2 linked regions of the Mytilus edulis genome follow. The protein of the gene in region 1 purifies or fractionates together with the protein of each later gene. This does not show direct contact. Links are inferred from orthologs where the notes say so. Each region holds a gene or a part of one and is shown in the gene's direction. Other genes may lie near its edges.

Region 1 (8,196 bases):
GATTTTATATCAGTATTTTTTACACCTCATCTTTTCGTTTGTGTTGTAAATAGAAGGGTTTAGAGCTAGATATCATCAGATTCTCCGATCATGCATATTTTGCAACTATCATATATAGCATAGACCTGTTTGTCGAATTGAGACAAACGCACCATTGTTGTAATATTTCCCACTGGACGTTTAATTATAAAAAAAACATCGTCAAAGCGTTATCGGTGTATTTTCAATCTTGTGTCGCAACAATGCTTATCTTGACAACGTCTTTAGTTGCATTTCGGGAAGCCGTTGCATTGCAAAGTTTTGCAAACAAAATAAGCTGTTTGAATATCTTGATCATCTAAATATTAATATTATCACAAAATGGGTACATGTTGTACAAAATGTGAGAGGAGCAGTCGAGAGAACATTAGAAGAAGAAACTTATCAAGACTTAGAAATTACGTTTCGTCGCAGTGGCAAAGATTGAGGGGAAATAGAGTGGTCAAAATTACAATTCATCCATCACCCATGCCATCATCATCCAATGTAAGTAACCGTACTTACGTAATATCAAAGAAAGAAGAACCTTCCACTGAATATATTTCACCGAATGACGTAGTCATGGAATTAAAACAAGGCACATCCATTTGTAGAGGCTGTGCATTTCAAAACGAGGAAGAAGAGCTGGAGTTAATAAGTTTAGAAAAAACAAAGGATGATATTGGAGCTGCGGCCTCTATTTTAGTTGAAGAAGTGCTACCTATAAATAAAAAGGCAAGGCCAAAAGCCGCAAGAGGAACACGAACCTCAATGACAATAGCAGATTCAATTGTGCAAGAAATTACTCTTCCAGGGGAAGTTTTATCGTCGAATACAGACTTACCACTTACATCAAGAACACTACTAACTGTGTCACCAATCAAATCCGTCCAGCAGATAAACTTGGATAAGTGGATGAATAGACACATAAACGACTAAAATGCGGGTGTTAGATTTTTTGTGCTTGTTTTTTTTTTTTTTACTTTTTTTTTATGTATTTATAACTTTTTGTGTGACATATAATTCGTAAACATAACATGACGTTCATTATGCATATATACGATGATAATTATATTTATGATGTGCCTTACCAAATGACATATAACATGTGATTTGCAGAACAGGATGCAACCCTCTGGCGCACTGTGAAAAGTCGTAAGGTTGTAAGTCACTGGCGTAGATGGAATAAGCTCGTAAACTTGGCCTGCTGCAATTCAAATCTTGTTTATGGTATTTTATTGCTATAATTTCATGTCATTTGATAGGGTACATCTTAAATATGAATTATCACCATATATGTTAATTGTATGTTTAAAATACATTATTTTCCTTCTTCAAATTCGTTATATTTTACTTTGAAGTTTTTCAATTGTTAAAGTTTATGTTAAAACTTGTGTTTAGGAGGCTAATATAATCTCCAAGAGAGTTGTTAAATTCATCGTAACAATTCTGTCAACAACAGCGTTACCCTAACAACACTTGTAAACAACTGGACACTGGATGATAACTTGGTTCTTCTTTGAAGAATTTGATGATGTTCCCATCGACTTTTTATATAATATGGTTACTAGCAAGAGCAGGATTGTTTTTTGTTGTTTATATGGTAAACGTTACTAGCAAGAAAATTCTGTTTTTCAGACCGCCTTGGTGGATGCATTTTTTGGCCTTTTATAGCAGACTATACAGTATATGCTTTGCTCATTGTTGAGGGCCGTACTGTGAACTATAGTTTACTGTGTCATTTTGGTCTCTTGTGGAGAGTTGTCTCATTGGCAATCATACCACATCTACTCTTTTTTAGATATATATATATTTGGTTATTAACAAGAACAGAATTGGGTTTTGTCAGACCGCATCGGTGGTGTATATATGGTTACAAGCAAGAACAGGATTTTTTCAGACCGCCTTGGTGGTTAATATATGGTTACTAGCAAGAACAGTTTTTTTTCATATCGCTCGCTGTGTGATCGACTCAAGTGCTGGATAATATGGGTTCAAACCTCGGCCTGGTCAAATATGGGGACAGTATACAGAAACTAACGACTTGAAATTGGTATGTGCTGCTTCTCGGCCAAACATGGCAAGAAGTGGTTGGGGCAAATAAAATTGAGAAAGGAAATGGGGAATGTGTCAAAGCGACAACATCCCGGCCATAGAGCAGACAACAGCCGAAGGCCACCAATGGGTCTTCAATGTAGCCAGAAACTCCCGCACCCGGTGGCGTCCTTACGTGTCAATGTTTTTGAAGTATAATGACATATATATTCAGCTGTTATGACACCTTCGGTTTCTTGTACCAGAGTATTATTCTTTAAAAAAGTGTTTCTCAAAAACATTTCTCATCACACAAATATTTATACAGGTAGATGTTGACTGGCTGTACAGCCCTTGCCGTTACGGTCGGCTGGTGATTGAGGACGTCTTCCTTTCTTTTAGATTTTTAAGTGACAGATAACAATTGGTCTAGATATTTCATTAAATGTGTAAATTTTGAGAGTAGTATTAAATTCACGTGTAAATTCATGTAGTGTAGCGAGAAAAAAGTCTGGTCACCAAACTTTTTATTACATTTTGGATAAGAAGCATGATTAAAACTTTATCCCCCCCCCCCCCCCCCCAATTCACCTTTAAAAGAAGAAATCGAATACTCTGCAAAAAATGAAAAACAATATCATATGATAATTTTGTAAAAAAAAAAAAGGCACAAATTCATAAATGTGACTGATGTTTTATTACCATGCATACATATCGAACAGTTTAGAAAAAACAACAATATTGGTCAGCAAACGATACAACAGAAATAGAAAGGACGGAAAAATAATAAATAAAACAAGAATGTGTCCTCAGTACACGAATGCCCCACTCGCACTATCATTTTCTATGTTCAGTGGACCGTGAAATTGGGGTAAAATCTCTAATTTGGCATTAAAATTAGAATGATCATATCATAGGGAACATGTGTACCAAGTTTGAAGTCGATTGGACTTCAACTTCATCAAAAACTACCTCGACCAAAAACTTTAACCTGAAGCGGGACAGACGGACGAACGAACGAACGGACGGACGAACGAACGAACGAACGAACGAACGAACGAACGAACGGACGGACGAACGGACGGACGGACGGACGAACGGACGCACAGACCAGAAAACATAATGCCCCTCTACTATCGTAGGTGGGGCATAAAAAGCGAAGGAATAGTTTGTAGTGAACATGGGATGTTAATGTAGGTAGATGTGGTTGACTGGAGAAAAAAATAATGGTTTATGTACAGCCAAAATACATGTTTTTCTATTTTTGGAAAAGAGAGACGAAAGATATTAAAGGGATATTCCAACAAAAACAGACATTACATTTTTGGTATAATTGTGTTTTCGTAATTCGTTCTTTCAGAAAAACAGAATCACCTAACAAAACACACGATTTACAACATGGGACTGGTGTTGCAAAGAATACAGGTTTAATTAAGCATATAGTATGCGATTGGAAATTTATGTGTTTTTCCTTTTTGAAAAATATAATAAATGAAGAAGATTTGTTGTTTCCGTAATTCCGTAATTCAGTATAAAATACATGTATATACAAAACATAATCATTGGATGGACAAGTGTCTCATTGGCATCCATACCACATCTTTTTATATCTGTCGTTGTTCCTTTTTCCTTCTTTTTTGCTGTACATGTTAAAACTTTATTCAAAAAGAGGGACAGTCAAACTCATAAATCGGAAATAAACCGACAACGCCATGGCTAAAAATGAAGAAAAAGACAAACAGACAAACAATAGTACATATGACACAAGATATGAAACTAAAGAATAAGCAACACGAATCCAACCAAAAACTGGAAATGATCTAATGTGCTCCAGGAGGGTAAGCAGATCCTGCTCCACATGTGGCACCCGTCTTGTTGCTCATGTTATAACCGTGAAATCCGGCAAATAGTCTAATTCGGTAGGTCACTTGATATCACATATTCTGATTATTACAACGATGTTGTTTATATGTAGTGTGTAGAGCCCGTAAAATTAGACACGATCCATGTTTTACTTTTTGATATTTCGAATTCGCCGCGTTTTAAATATTGTGGTAAAATCTTTCGATGAAACATTGACGTTTTTTTTTAATTATCAGAAAATAACTAAATAGAATGTATTGTTATAACATTTTACATTTGTGTCTGTTCCTCTGCAGTTGTTGTTGGTTGCTGTCTGTCATATTAATAGTCTTTCGTTTATTATTTCAGCATAAATCAGGCCTTGTGCTTCGAAGGATCAATAATGATGAACAAGAACTCATTCTGAACTCGAACTTATACTGTGCCTAATATTTCCGTTGACTGCTTACGCAAAAAGATGAAGACAGAAGAGTGGGATCTACGGCTGTCAAAGGAGGTCTTTACTTTACTCAATTTTGCCTACATGCGTACGGAAAAAGATGTAAAATTCAGTGAAACTCTGAATCAATTTTAAATATGTCTTGAGTATAAAAAAAGGCAAGTAAAAACCAACACTCGCAAAAGGAGGTAGAACCTCCAGGGATATATCCGATGGAGTTATCAAAGAGTTTCCGTTTTTGGAGGAGTTGTGCAATCCAATGAGTATTTATTGAAAATTTGGCTAGAGCAAAAATGCCACACTGTTTAATACGGTATAGAAATTTCGATGAGATCTGCACAGGCACTCGTGTTAGAAAAAAATATTCCTATATGTGTTATATAAAGGTATATACTAAGATTTTTTTCTAAGACGAGTTCCTGTTTCTGGCTGCACTGAATACTAGCAAGGAATTGTATATTTAATATACAATTCCTTGATACTAGTCTTTCCAAATAAATCGACATCTTGATATTGACACTACTGCAATATTATGTTCATTTTTACCATTTTCTTCGTGATATTGTTATAACAATTTTTTACCGACGCATAGCAAATTAAAACAGTTAGAAATTAAAAAAAACATGCAGTAGTCGGGATCATGTAATGGGTTTTAGGTACAAACTGGTTTCCCAAAAATGTTATCTATCTATTATGGGTATAAAAAAGGCGAAATTCAATACCAGATAAGCCATGGCAGAAAAGTTTGATTTGCAAATAAAACGGGAACTCTTAGACTCGTCATTTGACGGATACAAACTGTCGTTAGACAGTCTGCCCACATACAGCCTTCAATTTGGAATTGGTAAATTGCTTGATGATTTTTTTGTATAGTACATTTTGATCGGTGAAGTGTACTTTGTAGCCCTGCTCATGCTGAGCAAGCTTATATACGACGTACGTCACGTAGCCTCTTTGAAAAGCGCCACAGCAAAATTAGAAATACCATTTTAAGCCGCCAAGGATTTGTATACTACTATACTAATCCCAACCCAGTAGAAAAGGGGGTAGGTGAGTTCGAATCTGGGTTCGTTCGCCCTGAAACATCCCAGTCCCAGAAAAAAAATAAATCAGCGCTAGCCTTGACAGACGTCATAATTATTTTGACTACTGTTCGCCCTTATACCTGTTCGCCCAGGGTCCATTCGCCTTGATTTTTATTTTTTTCTAATTAAGGTTCATCATAACAAACGGACAAATATGGCTGTATTTACATGCCAAAAATTACTCTGAGTACAGACCTACCTGTGAAGTTGGAAAAGTTTTAATGCCTGGCACCCACTAGATATATAAAAGTTAAATGCATTTTGTGTTAAAGAAAGATAAAATCTTTTTTGGTTTTTGATGGGCATTTTTTTTTCCTTCATGCAAAAGTCATATAATTTTAAGTATTTTGAACAAAATATGTTGAAGTTTGTTGAAAAATTGAGAGAATATTTATATTGCCGTAATCAATTTGTCTCATTTACAAATCAACTTAGTTACAAATTGATCAAGTATGAAACGACATGCATTCCTGTAAAATTTGACATGACAATTTATTTTTTAACCCTCTTGTTGCCAGCTGTTTTTCAGGGTTTCATTTCATATTTGACGGAAAATACGACCGCTCGACGTTTGTGACGTGACATGCCAAACAATGACGTCATTCTGTATATGACATCATGCTGTAATGACAGTTACATTTTAGAGCCATTGTAGAATCATATTACACTTTTTAATTTTGGTTTTTTTATTTTGAAAGAGGTACAGCAATGATGAGAAGCTTGCATAAATTAAAACATGGACACATGTGTCCCTCCAGCACAGTTGGTGTGGACACATGTGTCACTCCGGCACCAAGAGGGTTAAGAAACTGAAAGATTGACATCATAATGAAAATGGAATTGTTGCTTGACGTCAGCATACATAAACAAGTTCAATCTGAAAATACTACTAAAGGAAGAGACTGTTTTCATTGAGCCATAACTTCTCTGAAACCATACAAAGTGATAAGACGTATAAATGAATTGTTTTGTACTTTCCAAATTATGCTCTTTGACACAATCTTTTTTCCACAGAACACTCCAATTTTTATCCAAATTCAAAGACCGTTATTGATTCTTGACTGAACTTTTTCCCACATGCTCAGTCAACATACTGCTGTGAAAACTATTTTTAACACTTGTTCATTTGTACCATGATTTCGTGGGCATCTGCTAGTAAAAATTAACTGTAAGAATAAAAAGACTTGTCTTTTTTTGTTTCATCCAGTTCTCTGTAAAATAAGATTTATTGCATTCTTCAACTAAATTCTGAGTGATATAAATAAAAGAATTAGAGTAATGATTATTTGTAACAATTCTTCCAGGTATAGAGAAGGTGGACCTTACAGACGGTCAGTATTCCTACCATCATGCTAAGATCCTTGGACAACACAATCATTTAGCTTTAGATCCTTGGAATCAGCAGACAGTATATTATATAGATCAGCTATGGCGCATCAACAAAGCCTTCATTGCAGTAAGTAAATGGTTACATTTGTTTTAACTTTTTTATTACAAATTATTTTAATTAGAAGTCTGAGGGTAATGTTTAGGAGTTTATAAGAACATGTGAGACTTTGATCTGGCTCAAAGGGACCATGAAAGTATAAAGAAAGTGTGCTTTCTTGAAATCATAATAACTTATCTAACATTTTTGTCAATTCTTCAAAAATAACAATTATAATCATGATGATAGATACACACAATAATTTTCGATTTAAATATATACATATGTAATCAGGGGTTCAAATTAGTGTTGGTCGAATGTTGGAGACCTGTCTTTTCTAGAAGGGGACTTTTCATTTTTGAATAACAAGTCAAGGACCTACAATTCTTTACTCTGATATACAGGAACACTGAATTTCTTATGGAGGACCTTTCAAATGGTCCTGGACCTTTCACTATTTAATGCAAATTTGAACCTCTTATAGTATGGACATAAACATGATGAAGGGAACTGATGAAGCCCCTCTCAGAATCAATCAGGAAAAAAGAATGTTTTAATGTAACCAAGCCAATATTGAAAAGTTTATGCACTTATTCAGTATTCTGTCAAATGAATAATTGTAAATGTGACCATATAGTGATATAATCTTCTTGCAGTTATGTTACATAAAGTAATCAGCAAACAATCTATCAATAAAGAATAACTCATTATACATGTATCTTCTTCATACTTATTATTAATGTGGTACATGAAGGTGTTATTAATTTGCTAGGAAGGTTTATGGTAATTTAAATTAACCCTGATACATAGATATAAGATGTGGTATGAGTGCCAATGAGACAACTCTCCATCCAGGCATCCAAGTCACAATTTGTAAAAGTTAACCATTATGATTATAGGTCGAAGCAAGCTATAAAGGGCCCAAAAATGAGTAGCGTAAAATCGTTCAAGTGGGAAAACCAACAGTCTAATCTATATAAAAACAAGAAACAAAAAGCACTTTATATGAACCATATCAACAAACGACAGTCATTGAACATCAGGTTCTGACTACTAACAGGTGCAAACAAATGCTATGGGTTTAAACATTTCAGTAAGTAACAACCTTCATGATTGAATATAACATTATGTTTATAGTAAAAGCTTCATTGTAATGGTAATATATACAACTGAATTAAAATTTGATAATTGTTCCAATTCAATTGCATAAACACTTTCAAAAAAAAAATTCATTTATTGTTTTAGGACATGCAATTGAACCAGACTGAATCCATTCTTCAAATCCCAGATTCAACCAATCAGAAACTAGTACCAGAAAGAGTCAATCTTTG
Region 2 (7,959 bases), on another chromosome or scaffold:
TGTTATGTTTCTGTCTCAACGATTTAAAATCCCACTTTTCCCTTTAATCATGTTGAGATTCTATCTAGGACAAATATAACATTTTATTTATTATAATATATTATTTTAATTAATTTTATAGTTTTTAAGATCATTTTTATAGCAATCAAAGAGCCAGCATAATTATACTTGAACTTGAAAAGATATTAGAAAGGTTAGAAAACAGTTGCACATGAAATATTGAAATTGTTTTTTATGGGACAAATTCACATATAAAACCAAGTTTTGCATAAATTTGAGAACCCTTTTTTGACTAAAAAGTACAGCAATTCTACATATGAAAACAAATTTTGCTTACAATTTGAGAATTTTTTTTTTTACTAAAGAGTACAATTTAATCGAAAGCAATGATATTCCAATGCCTTAGAAAACAAAGAGTTAGAAGCAAGAAGCAAGTTGACATAAAAAATATAAATTACATATCTACATTATACAACTTACTGCATTATGAAGAACTAATTTCTTCAAACTTAATACATCATCACTGAGCGTAGCTGACATAAGGAAAGCTTGATATATCTTTGGCAGTTGTCTGAAATACAAATACAATTTCTTTATTTAAAATCGTGACTATATTACTAAGACTTCTACAATGGTATAAGTTTCCTCTAAAATGATGTTCTATTCAGTCAAAAACATAAACAACATTATTATTCCCATGTTGTTATGCTATTTCGATCACAGTTTATTGAAAATATTTGTCTTATAATATTTGAAGTTGCCATAACAGACCTTTATTATTCTCTGATATAGTGATACTTGTGATGAAATACATCAGAGTTTGATTTTGCAGTTTTTACATCTCTTTTTTCTATATCATTAAAGATCATTAAACAAAATGTACAAGAAAGCTTAAAATTACTGCTCAACAGAATGTTATATCATTCAAAGACGATGAAGAAAATAGAGGAAACCTTACGTAACTTGTTGTTTATAACTATGAGAGAGAGGGGCAAACATCAGTTTGTCTTAACAAATAAAATCTGAAACAAATATTTGGTGTAAGCTATAACTCATGCAAGGGCCTAACATATTAAAGTCCTCAAAGAGCATATGAGGGTTTGAGACAAATAACTAAAAATTTACTTTATGATAGCTTTAACATCATCCTCATAGCCAAAAGAGAAAACCAGATCGGCTTCATCTATCACAAGCATCTCCAAGGTGTCTTTGATACTGAGATTACCAGCCTGTATGTGTGCCAGGATACGTGTAGGTGTACCAACAACTATATCGGGTTTCTCCATCAATTTGGGTCTGTCAAAATATAGATAAATCTTACATTATTCTAAATGCATATAAGTTTATATGTTGTGCAATATTACTTAACAGAGTGGGCAAAACAACAGATAAAATAGTTCAATGTTGCCATTATGTATGCTAATACATGTAATCTTTTGGCAGCATTTGGTGTTTCTACCAACCATGACTCTTTCTAGTAAGGGAACTGCTTAACCTTGCAGAGTCCTAGAGTACTCTCTGTTCTATTTTGTAGGGTTTGTGTAGTGTAATCTTAGTTTCCTGTGCAGCATTTTGTAGACTAATGTTTGACTTTACATCTTTTTACTTTTGGATGTGGTGTTGTTTGTCTTTTTCAATTTATGATTTTTGATTGCCATCTTCGTATCTTCTTATTTTTACAAGAGAGAAAGAAGTAACTTATTCAACACCTTGTACATTGTAGATGTTCTAACCATGATAAAACATTTTTATTTGTCAGCCAGGCATGGTGTTCAATGAACATATACAACTTGTTTTCATTAATGTGTACCTTTCCTTTACATATATGTTGCTGTTTGATAGATATATGAACATGTGGTATGAGTGCCAATGAGACAACTCTCCATCCAAGTAACAATTTATAATAGTAAACTATTATAGGTTAAAGTACACTTAGTTTCTGTCTTTCTGATGGTTTTTTTTGTTACTCAATAAGATCACTATCATTTGTGATGTTACCTTTGTGTAAGCAGTGGAACTTTTGGCGAAACATCAACACATTTTATTTCTCTGGAACAACATGATGTCAATTCCTGAAACAGAGAGTAGAAATCAAATACATGTACTAATGAAATATTTCTATATCCAAATACTATAAATTCATATGTACCAACTTTAAATAAAACTAATATGAATGCAAAATTGACATAATAAAATTAAGAAAGGAAATGGGGAATGTGTCAAAGAGAAAACAACCCAACCATAGAGTAGACAACAGCCGAAGGCCACCAATTGGTCATCAATACAGCGAGAAACTCCTGCTCCAGAGGAGTCCTTAAGCTGGCCCCTAAACAAATATGTATACTAGTTCATAATACATGTTTTCATAAATACATGACCTCAATACTATATTCTTATGCATAACATGCAACTTATTTTCTGATTATTAGCGAGAAAGCTCTGTAATGTTGGTGTATCAAGAATGTCCAAGAAACCAAAACTGTAGAAATGTAATTTAATACATGTACCTCTCTCTTTTTCTAAAGACTTTTGTTACATGATTAATTTTGTCCCACCATCTACCTTATGTTAATTTTTTGTGCTATCTATGAGTAGGTTTAAAGAGAGATCATCAAGATACATGTACATGTACACTAATGTCACATGTGCATATACACTAATGTTACATTTAACTAATGTGACATTTACATTTATCTCTATAAATACAATGTATAGTATACATTGTATTTATAGAGATAAATGTAAATGTCACATTAGTTAAATTGTACACTAACCATAAGATTTTTATATATGTACATGTACACTAATTTTACATGTAACTGTATAAAACAATATATACTAACCATAAGTATGTACACTAATGTTACAAGTAACTCTTTAAATACAATATATACGTACCATAAGATTTTTATATGCTTGGTGACATAGTTCCTTAGAAGGGGTCAGGAAAAGAGCTTTTGTACACTGTTCTTTACTGGTCTAGAGAGAAATTGAGAAAATGTACTTTCTGCAAAACTATTTGTAGTACATACAGTATTCATATCTGTAAAAAAATACTTGCAACACAATGCATTTTGGAAATTTGTTTGATGTCCTTATGAAACTTCAGATATGGTTATATATAGTTTAATTTATCAATGACGAAAACATGATGATTAATTGACCTTTACTGAAAATAATTAATATTTCTAAATACATTACATACAGTATTTTATCTATTTCTCAGTTCAAGAGAATGCAAAATGATTATGTTCCATACTACATATTCAGAGTAAAACAATTTTCCATTTCAAAGAAAAATGGAAAATATTCAGTGTACTAGTATGCATTGTTTTACTCACACTAACATCAGAGTATATCTTATTTCATCACATTGTATATCAAAAATATTTAACTCGAGTCAGTTGTTATGCTTTATTTGCTTTGTATTTGAACATGTGACATGTTAGATTAAACATAGATTTCAAAGTACTGTGGATTCATTTACTTTTGTGGGTACCAATTTTCGTGGATTGCCGAAAAACTTGCCTTTTCGTAAATATGTGATTTCGTGGTTTTGCCAAAGTCTGTATACCACCAAATAAAAAGCTTGTTGAAAATTTTAATTTGTGGTTAACCTGTACCCACGAAAACTGGTATCAAACAAATAATAATAATCCCTAGTAGTATTATTATTACCTGTTTAGACTGTAATATTTTTTGAACCACAGGAATGGAGAATGCTGCTGTTTTACCAGATCCAGTCCTAGCCCTTGCCAAAATGTCTTTTCCTTCTAAAGCCAGAGGGATTGCTTTTTCCTGAATTGGTGTTGGTGTTGCCCAGCCTAAATTTGCAATTGCCTGTAAGCGTAAAATATAAATTAATTCAATACTAACCTATTGGTAAACAATGGGATATCCCTCCAAACTCTATCTGCTGTTACACAGTGCACTCTTCATAAAAGATTTCATACAACAAATCCATAATAAGCACAGGAATTGAAGACACTTATAATTTTGTGCCAAACCAAGATCAAACAGTACATAATTTCAAAATAGAAAGAGGAAAAATTATCTATAAATAAGGATACATTGTACTAATGTTTTTCACAAACATACCAGCTCCAGTAATAATCATGATTATAAACTAATAAATTGGTCTTTATATAAGCTTAATTTTGGTATGGGTTCAAACTAAAAATAAACATTGTGATAAATGACAAAAATTATTTTCTTGGATAAATGAAAATCATCAACATTGCAAACATCACAGAGATGCATTGTCAAGCTTCGAGTCTGTAGCTAGTCAAGTGATGTTAAAATAATCTGTTGTATCTCAATGAACATGTAGCACACAGCATAGATAGAAAACACCAAGAACCTGTCAGTTGCACTACAAAAATGCATAATTTTCAAACAGATCACAGTATTTTAAGCAAAATATTAAAATAAAGACAGAGATGTCCAGTCATATAGAATGACCAAAATAAGAGCGATTTATTTGATGTGAAGTGTTCTATAAGGTTTGTGAATATGGGAATGCAATGGTCACCATTTTGTATTACCCCATATACATTCTGTACCCTTCTGTGAATGTGATTATAACAAATTTGAAGTGACATATTATAAGTTTGATAAAATTTTTAATTAATCATAGAGGTGCGATCTAATATTTCATATCACATATAACCTTATTGCTTATTATCATGTGCACCTTTAAAATTCTGTCATCCAACCCCATCTCATGGAAATTCAAGGTTTTGTCCTCATCTGGTTCTGACATCGTCTTGCTTGTTTTGATTTTACCGGAAGTACAAAAAACATGTGCTTCCTTTACCTTAAGTCTGACAGAACTTTTATTTATTCAAGCGTGACTATAAAGTCATTCTTATCTCTCTTGGGTTTTCGTTGAGTTTTGTTGTAAAATCAAATGTCCGAATGACGTCATTTGCCATACTGCAATATACAGGGTAACAACAAAATGTCGAAAAGACACAGAATCGACGTTGGCGACTCTTTGCCAAAACGCACAAGGTATGACAGCTGTAAAGTCATGGCAGCCTTTGCCTCATTCAATTTATTAAGACACACATTTGTCTTGTTTCATTTCTCTAACTGTAGAATACCTATAACACTATTAATTGAACATTTCCACAGTAGCGCACAACGCATGCCGAATCGGACATAATTTATCCCCCCTTTTCTTCATAAATCTTTTCAGTACTTGTCAGAGGGAGGGACTGTCCCTGAAGTCTTTTAGGATCTCCTGTAGTTGGTGATCTCAATACTGGTATACTAGTATTGTGCACAATACTGGTATAAAAACTTTGTACCAGTATTGTTTTCCAGTATTGTACCAGTGTTGTGTTTTTTTAAATAAACAAATACATATAGGTGATTAATCTTTAATTAAAGGTGTCACATATATAAATGCATAATGAAATTAACATATGAAATGACAATTTTATATGAAATGATTGTAAAAATCAAATCAAATATTTTATTATAGTCTCACCTCTCTACATGTATCCTCGTGTATTGTATTTTCGACCTTCTAACATTTTTCTGAATTCCCTGTTATATGTTTGACCATAGACATACCTAATATTTTGAGAGTCGCTAGTATACTTGTGCATAAAATAATTGTATCGGAAATATATTTCGATCTTTAATTAATTTCATTTGAGTTCATTAGATCGATGGCACCTTTGTTGACAAAAACAAGGGTCTTGTGTTTTTGACCTATCTATAAAAAAACGAGTCTAAAGTCAGAAACGACATCTCGTACATATCCGGAATTGGTTATAAATTTGATACCAAAGTTTATATCAAAGTGTTAGAGGCGATCTAACTTATGACTTAAAGAATTAAATGGTTAAATATACAACTACATGTACAAAATGTATAAGATATAAAATATTATTTTGATGTCTTTTTTGGACAAGTTGTACACATTTTAGAATGAGGCACTTTGGAAGCCTTGTATGGTCTTGTATACATTCTTGTTTTTTTTAAATACTTTGGTTTATCCATTGTGAAGTGAGGTTGGTGAGTATTGTCTGTAATTTCCATTTCCACTGACACTGTTTTTTCTGTAAATAAAATTGAACTGATATTTTATTTTTTGGTAAAAAGCTGTAAGGAGCATGCGTATTTCTGTATTCAAATTAACTTTAAGTATAAAAACTAACCACCTGACAGTCATGTGACTTAATGACCTTGAAGTTAACTTTGCATGCAAAAAGACCTCTAAAAAAACGTAAATACTTAATATAATAACTTTATTTGAAAAATCTTCACCCCACATGGTATCATTTGCTATTGTTACTAAGTATAGCAGCCGAATATGACCTCATGCAGGCATGCGCAGCATACGAAAAGTGAAAGTAGAATTAGGTCGAAAACGTCAGACGGTCGAAAACACAATACGAGATGATACATTACAAACATGAATACAATATATACAACATGTTTTAATTAAAAGTACAAAACAATCTTAAAAACATTCGAGAGCCACTCTCAAAAGAGTTATGAGAGACTTTTACATAAAAAAAGGACAGCTCGATAAAAATACAAAACATTTTTTATCTATATAAAACATTCTTCCTTTGAATTAAAATATCATGGCAGATTTTGGCAGAATAAAAGCACAAATTTTCATTTGTAAATAAAAATATAAATTTTTCATCATCATTTAAGTCTAAAAAATCAATATTAAAAGAAACTGCTCTAGTAAAAAACCTCTTGTCTTGCCTGTGAATATAAAGGGCATTTGGGTAAAACATGTTTCTCATCTTCAATGAGTTTCTGTTGCATACATGAATCATTAAAACAAAATCTATTTTCACTTAAAACCCCTTCATATCTGCCTGTTTCAATTCTAATCGGCGCCACACCACATCGAAATTTAGCAAAGGCACTTTTATATTTTCCTGGCACATGAAAACTTAAATAATGTTCTTTATAATATTCTTGTTTAAATAATCTATCAACTTTTGTTGCAGAAAGCTCGACATAGGGATAGTGATCCGGCGGCGACGTTAGCTAACTTCTTAAAAGCTTTACATTTTAGAAGGTGAAAGACTTGGATGCTTCATACTTTGTATATAGATGCCTCATGTTACGAAGTTTCCGTCAGTCACATGTCCAATGTCCTTGACCTCATTTTCATGGTTCAGTGACCACTTGAAAAAAAAGTTCAGAATTTTTGTAATGTTGAATTCTCTCTTATTATAAGTAATAGGATAACTATATTTGGTATGTGCGTACCTTGCAAGGTCCTCATGCCCGTCAGACAGTATTCACTTGACCTCGACCTCATTTCATGGATCAGTGAACAAGGTTAAGTTAGGGTGGTCAAGTCCATATCTCAGATACTATAAGCAATAGGGTTAGTATATTTGGTGTATGGAAGGACTGGTATGTGTACATGTCCAACTGGCAGATGTCATTTGACCTTGACCTCATTTTCATGGTTCAGTGGTCAAAGTTAAGTTTTTAAGTTTTGGTCTTTTTATCTAATATTATATGCCAAAGGTCAACTATATTTGGTGTATGGAAATATATTATGATCTATATGTCAGTCCCGCAGGTTTTATTTGACCATGACTTCAATTGCACAGTTCATTGCACAGTGTTAAGTTTTTGTGTTTTGGTCTATTTTTCTTAAACTATAAGTAGTCTTTGACAACTTTCCAAGTCCTGTTGAGAAAAAAAATGAACATGTTGAAGATTTTATATTGATTTCAATAATTCTTAATCAGTTATACACAATTACCTCTTTTTGTGTTTTCTGTCTTATCAAAATATATATTGCAAAGTTTATAATGACCCCTAAAATACGCATTAGTTAAGCTAAAAAACAGTTTTGATCTAATGTTTTTTTTCTGGATTCAAAATAAATTATAACAGCTACTGGTAACAGTTTTTTCTAGGTCATATGTAGGGAAGTGAGGGCATAAGGTTTTCTTAAGCTTTTAG

What was found. Proteins that work in one complex are often made in the same cells at the same time.
Region 2: the proteins of nudC domain-containing protein 1-like (region 1) and putative pre-mRNA-splicing factor ATP-dependent RNA helicase PRP1 purify together in Homo sapiens (co-immunoprecipitation; 3 studies listed by BioGRID and IntAct, with this or other methods). This does not show direct contact. The link is inferred for Mytilus edulis from reciprocal best matches to the Homo sapiens genes NUDCD1 and DHX15.

Annotation. Positions count from the first base shown.
Region 1 is NC_092348.1:48,748,345-48,756,540, forward strand, and holds the start of nudC domain-containing protein 1-like, read left to right. Parts: upstream 1-5,008; 5' UTR 5,009-5,086; coding exon 5,087-5,198; intron 5,199-6,743; coding exon 6,744-6,895; intron 6,896-8,110; coding exon 8,111-8,196.
Region 2 is NC_092347.1:43,276,846-43,284,804, forward strand, and holds the start of putative pre-mRNA-splicing factor ATP-dependent RNA helicase PRP1, read left to right. Parts: upstream 1-4,874; 5' UTR 4,875-4,960; coding exon 4,961-5,013; intron 5,014-7,959. Other genes in the region: probable ATP-dependent RNA helicase DDX56, read right to left, coding at 481-571, 1,126-1,296, 1,999-2,072, 2,899-2,979, 3,679-3,840, 4,694-4,762.